Saccharomyces cerevisiae S288C: one gene and its partner. The gene in region 1 interacts genetically with each later gene. Each region holds a gene or a part of one and is shown on either strand. Other genes may lie near its edges.

Region 1 (3,935 bases):
AAATATAAGGATTAAAATAATGTTTCTCCATTGACTACCAAATAATTTTTCTCCATTGGCTACCAAATAATCTTTCTCCATTGGCTACCAAATAATCTTTCTTCATTGACTACCAAATAATCGATAAGATAAAATAGCACGAAGCGATATGAAAATACACAGTCGGCTAAAAATTTGTGGGTAATTTACCTTCTTGATGCATCAAAAATCGACTTTTTAAGAGTTAATAATCATTAACCTTATTCTGACGAAAATAGCAGCGTATTTAACTCTATTGTACAAACATAATTTTCTTCTTATTGCGTTAGAGTTTCCTTTGCTATGGATCAATGAAATTGCAGATTACGAAAGAATCAAAAGAAATAAAATCGGAAATCATGACATGTGCTATGGCCTGTGTTTCCAGGTGTAAAAGATAAAGCAGAACTAACCAAGTTCATTAGAAAAGTACAATACCAAATGGAAAGAAAAAGGAATTGTTCTTCTAAGCTAATCGGCAACCGCTTATAAAGTCTACCCCATTCAGTAAGATCGAATATCTTGGAGGTCATATATGTTCATTCATCGGTGAGTGAGGATAATAGTGGCTTTTGTAAAAATTTTTATTATGGTGCTAATACACCATACTATTTCTGAGGCAACACCAAAGAAGGGTCCGAGAGTTCTTAGGCAGTAAAAAAGTTACACAGCCTCAGAAGACAGGGATCATGCAGTAAAAAAAAAAGCTCGATAATTTCATCGATCAATTGACCAGCCAATTTATTCTTATACCCTTATTTCTACCGATATAAACAGTTGGATAAACGGACAGGTTGAAGTGCAACGTTATTCAATGGTGACAGTTGCTTCTGGACTAAGAAAGGCTAGACCATGTGCCAGAAGTGCAGAAAAATGAAAGCAGAGAGCAAATAAAAAAACTCGACAAACATCGGAATATCAACCAGACAATAGCAAGTGGACACAATGAAATAAAAATCTCACAGGCAAAAACGCACTTAAGGTGACGTAGATGCGTCCATCATTTAAACACGATACCAACATTATCTGATGTTTCAATGTTGAAAACTGACATTCAAATATTCCGCAACCAGCGGACGAACTGAAGGAGCAGGCGACTACAATGCGCAGGGCGATTGGCGCGGTAACTTTGCCATGATCAAATATTTGTGTAGCGCTTTGTTCACTATCGAACTTTCTAAATGAGTTAAGGAAGAGAAGAAAAACAATATGATACCGCAAATACGTATTCTCACCTAAAATGGCAAGGCAAAGCTTCGCCGAGGAATTCAGCCCGAGAGTAGAAAATTTACTAATGTGGTCTCGCGTGTGAATCAGCAATGATTCTGAAATACTCCTTTTACAACCTTTGCAAAGATAATGTCTTTCAGTCTGATATTACGAGCGACCTAGAACCACTAATCCATATTCTTCATTCAACTTACTCCATTTTCCTTGGCAAACAATGCCCCACAATCATATACGTCATAACTATAAGGGATATGTCTGGAATGCGGCCAAGATAGAATTAAAGGGCTGCAGAACACCACTACTGATACTCATTGCCAAGGCTAGGAGGCACCATCCGTTTCATTTTCTTTGAGGTAAGCCAATCATGAAATAGTATACACATCCATAACGGACGTACGGACGAAATAAGTGCCGTTGTCCCACTATTCCACCGCATTTGGCCCATTTGGCTCACTTTGACTCAACTTGCGTCATTTTAACTGATATGAAGGGTCCGACTTTGTCCTTTTTCGGCCACCGCATACCCCACGGCGATGCCTCCGCTACCTGCATTTGAGTAGCATCTCCGTTTCGCGGGGTATTCGGCGCTACGTCGCCTGTTCGAGCGGCTCTGTTCGTTGCATGAAACTAAAATAAGCGGAAAGTGTCCAGCCATCCACTACGTCAGAAAGAAATAATGGTTGTACACTGTTTCTCGGCTATATACCGTTTTTGGTTGGTTAATCCTCGCCAGGTGCAGCTATTGCGCTTGGCTGCTTCGCGATAGTAGTAATCTGAGAAAGTGCAGATCCCGGTAAGGGAAACACTTTTGGTTCACCTTTGATAGGGCTTTCATTGGGGCATTCGTAACAAAAAGGAAGTAGATAGAGAAATTGAGAAAGCTTAAGTGAGATGTTTTAGCTTCAATTTTGTCCCCTTCAACGCTGCTTGGCCTTAGAGGGTCAGAATTGCAGTTCAGGAGTAGTCACACTCATAGTATATAAACAAGCCCTTTATTGATTTTGAATAATTATTTTGTATACGTGTTCTAGCATACAAGTTAGAATAAATAAAAAATAGAAAAATAGAACATAGAAAGTTTTAGACCATGAAGGATTTAAAATTATCGAATTTCAAAGGCAAATTTATAAGCAGAACCAGTCACTGGGGACTTACGGGTAAGAAGTTGCGGTATTTCATCACTATCGCATCTATGACGGGCTTCTCCCTGTTTGGATACGACCAAGGGTTGATGGCAAGTCTAATTACTGGTAAACAGTTCAACTATGAATTTCCAGCAACCAAAGAAAATGGCGATCATGACAGACACGCAACTGTAGTGCAGGGCGCTACAACCTCCTGTTATGAATTAGGTTGTTTCGCAGGTTCTCTATTCGTTATGTTCTGCGGTGAAAGAATTGGTAGAAAACCATTAATCCTGATGGGTTCCGTAATAACCATCATTGGTGCCGTTATTTCTACATGCGCATTTCGTGGTTACTGGGCATTAGGCCAGTTTATCATCGGAAGAGTCGTCACCGGTGTTGGAACAGGGTTGAATACATCTACTATTCCCGTTTGGCAATCAGAAATGTCAAAAGCTGAAAATAGAGGGTTGCTGGTCAATTTAGAAGGTTCCACAATTGCTTTTGGTACTATGATTGCTTATTGGATTGATTTTGGGTTGTCTTATACCAACAGTTCTGTTCAGTGGAGATTCCCCGTGTCAATGCAAATCGTTTTTGCTCTCTTCCTGCTTGCTTTCATGATTAAACTACCTGAATCGCCACGTTGGCTGATTTCTCAAAGTCGAACAGAAGAAGCTCGCTACTTGGTAGGAACACTAGACGACGCGGATCCAAATGATGAGGAAGTTATAACAGAAGTTGCTATGCTTCACGATGCTGTTAACAGGACCAAACACGAGAAACATTCACTGTCAAGTTTGTTCTCCAGAGGCAGGTCCCAAAATCTTCAGAGGGCTTTGATTGCAGCTTCAACGCAATTTTTCCAGCAATTTACTGGTTGTAACGCTGCCATATACTACTCTACTGTATTATTCAACAAAACAATTAAATTAGACTATAGATTATCAATGATCATAGGTGGGGTCTTCGCAACAATCTACGCCTTATCTACTATTGGTTCATTTTTTCTAATTGAAAAGCTAGGTAGACGTAAGCTGTTTTTATTAGGTGCCACAGGTCAAGCAGTTTCATTCACAATTACATTTGCATGCTTGGTCAAAGAAAATAAAGAAAACGCAAGAGGTGCTGCCGTCGGCTTATTTTTGTTCATTACATTCTTTGGTTTGTCTTTGCTATCATTACCATGGATATACCCACCAGAAATTGCATCAATGAAAGTTCGTGCATCAACAAACGCTTTCTCCACATGTACTAATTGGTTGTGTAACTTTGCGGTTGTCATGTTCACCCCAATATTTATTGGACAGTCCGGTTGGGGTTGCTACTTATTTTTTGCTGTTATGAATTATTTATACATTCCAGTTATCTTCTTTTTCTACCCTGAAACCGCCGGAAGAAGTTTGGAGGAAATCGACATCATCTTTGCTAAAGCATACGAGGATGGCACTCAACCATGGAGAGTTGCTAACCATTTGCCCAAGTTATCCCTACAAGAAGTCGAAGATCATGCCAATGCATTGGGCTCTTATGACGACGAAATGGAAAAAGAGGACTTTGGTG
Region 2 (3,080 bases), on another chromosome or scaffold:
ATTCTTGTTATTTTGTCATTGGAAAGTATAAGCTGGTTGTGGATTACTCTTCACACGATGTGCCTGTTTTTTGTAGGCGGGCTTGTACTTTCTGGGGAGCATGCTGTGTATGTTGTAGGTCTGTGGCAATGTTTGTCGGGAGTGTTCGCTGTTACCATGAGTTGTCTGTGAGTAGTAGCGATTGTAATTGTGGTTGTATCCTACTGGTCTTCTTCGGGAATACCAAGGAATGAAAGAGTTATGAGGAACCTCACTTTGATCCTGGTAATTATTTGGTTGTTGTAGTTGATATTGGCGGGGCTCTGTGAGACAATGATTTTTTTTTGAATATATTTTAAAGCAATCGGCTGATTGGGTAGCCTCAACGCCAAATAACCAAGGAGGGTCGTAGTTATCTTGTGAATGGCTTGAGATTCCCTCATAATATAAAATATTTGCCTTTTTTTTTTCAGTAGGCATTTCCACATTTTCTTGCTTTGCAGGTAAGTCGGTTATATTGATTTCATCCAAAGATAAGGATTTTTGATTTTCAACATGCCTTCTAGAAAATATTTGTTTACCATTCAACTTTGGAGCGAAGAAACTCACCAAACCTGCTTGCTTCAATGGAGATTTGATTTCAGGCGGTGGTTCATCTTGATTTGTTACCGCCAGTTTATCTTGATTGGGATCTAAGGTCCTTGGTAGATCATTAAAAAGACTTGTGATGTCATACACAGATTGGTCTGTGCCCTTAGTTGTTTGTGGATAATTTTCGCCAAGGGAACTTGATGTTTGACTCGTTCCATATAGTTTGAGAATACTGTCTACGTTCTCTATACTAGCTTCTTTAGCTATGTTTTCTGTCTGACTGCGCAGACGTATCAAACCTAAAACTGAGAAAATGCACGCCAATAACGAGCAGAGGGAACAGGGAACAGTTAGCCAGCCACACCAAGTCGTATAAGGATGAAATTGTAACAGGATCACGGTGCATGCAAAGTAACAGGATCACGGTGCATGCAAAAATAGTTGATAAAAGTGTCAATATGTGTAATATAGCGTTGGAAGTAATAAGTGAGACATTAGTTCCTCCAGTCTGAAAAAGAAAAATAATAACCAAGGGAAGTGCAAAAGAAATGAAAGTCAAACATGTAGCAACCGGTATCGAAATCAAAAGTCCTCCTATTGTATGTCTTGCCTTAGGACTCAGCCACCAACGTTCAAGAGAAGGGCCAGGTAATATTTCTTTCGAGGTGTTATATATTAAACGTACTCGAGAGCAGGAAAAAGAATTCAAAGTTTTACAGTAACCAAAGGTACCATATGAAACTCCAGCAGCTTGAGCCAGCCCCCAGTTTCTAATTATTGGTGAAGTTAAACAACATATCATAAAGCCAGAAAAAGAGATTAATTGTAGGAAAGAGGAAAACAATAAAATCAATTTATAATTTAGCATCAATTATTGAATATGGTACCAAAAAAAAAAAATTAGCAAAAAAAGGCAATTTTCTCACCTTCTTGTAATTATTACGCGTAAGGACAGATCATAAAAGTGTATTTCATCCTCAATCATCAATTAAATAATTTATTTATTAACATTCATATATATTTATATTTTCGTTTGCAATTTCGCAATTTTAATATGTCACAAAAAAAGCGCCCACAGAATTATCAAGAAGACCAACCAAATCAATAATAAAATTCGGCAAATAACATTATTAGATTTTTCATGAGATTTAAGAAATACTTGTTCTGTTGTTTAACTGATGGTTTATTACTTATATTTAAATATTGAAAGCTGCAAGATTTAAAAAAATATCTCCCGGGGGCGAGTCGAACGCCCGATCTCAAGATTTCGTAGTGGTAAATTACAGTCTTGCGCCTTAAACCAACTTGGCTACCGAGAGTCGTTTTTGTTGTAAAAAACTACGAATATTCGTGGTATGTCGCATATATATATATTTCTTCTTCCAATGAGACGCAGAGGAAAAAACAAGTGAGGAGGAACATTTCAAAGAGATTGCTAATCAAAAAAAAATTCAAGAACAAAAACAAGGTGGTATATCGACTAATACAGAGTCAATCATGGGTTCAAACACTTCCAAAGTGGGTGCTGGTGCAGAAAAACAACAAGTCTATACTCCGCTAACACAGATCGATTTTTCACAGTCTTTGGTTTCTCAATTGGATTCATCGAAGGAATCAGACTATGTCACCAAGCAAAATGCAGAAAAGTTCATTGAGAAGAAGGTTTCACAAAGGCTATCTAACCTAGAAGTTGAAACGTTAAAGAAGTTTGAAGATACTTTGAACAATTCACTATTATCAGACGACGACAAGGATGCCGTTGATGGAATATCATCAAGTTCATTGAATAATCAAATCGAGTCGTTGAACAAGAAACTAACATTATTTGATCAATTAGAGTTACAAAAGTTGGAGAAATATGGGGGTGCCAAAGGTAAATCTGATAAAAAAACCGACAACGGCAGCATTTCTATAAAGGCAAAATTGACTGAGTGTCTTTTGGCCAATAAGGGCAAGCCATTGAATTGTTACGAAGAGATGGAAGAATTCAAGAAGCTCGTTATGGGTTGAATAAGAAAAAGTATACATAAACTCGACCAAAAAGAATTCGCCATTTCATGTATATAAAATGCATTTTTATCGATTGGCGGATGAACGTAAAAGGGAGAGAAATATTTTTATGTGTATGTAAAAAAATGTATATGTATATTCCGAAAAAACTATTAATTTTGAAAAAATGAAAAATGGACTTACAGACCAAATCCTTTATACATTAAGATCAGTGCACTATCACTTTCGCCCCCACCGGCTAAAGATTCAATTTTTTCCTTTTCAACAACGCTAACTTTATCATCATTAAATTTGTACCATTTATTTTCGTCCAGTTCGTCCCTTATGAAAGCTTGATAGTGTCCAGACTCAGAATTGGCACCTTGATGTGTAATGACACCGATCAAGTTATAAACACAAGATGGGTTTTCACCTTTTTCCAAGTTTGGAGGAAAATGTTTCTTATACTCTTCGAGCCATTGATCTTTTTCACTTTCGTTAAGAGCCACTTGTGTCTCATA

Evidence for each region.
Region 2: mutations in STL1 (region 1) and MIC19 together harm fitness more than expected from each alone (negative genetic interaction), as found in Saccharomyces cerevisiae (2 studies listed by BioGRID).

The regions. Positions count from the first base shown.
Region 1 is NC_001136.10:1,505,670-1,509,604, forward strand, and holds the start of STL1 (glucose-inactivated glycerol proton symporter STL1), read left to right. Parts: upstream 1-2,335; coding exon 2,336-3,935.
Region 2 is NC_001138.5:166,246-169,325, reverse strand, and holds MIC19 (Mic19p), read left to right. Parts: upstream 1-2,067; coding exon 2,068-2,580; downstream 2,581-3,080. Other genes in the region: YFR012W-A (uncharacterized protein), read right to left, coding at 16-102; DCV1 (Dcv1p), read right to left, coding at 830-1,438; ubiquitin-specific protease UBP6, read right to left, coding at 2,760-3,080.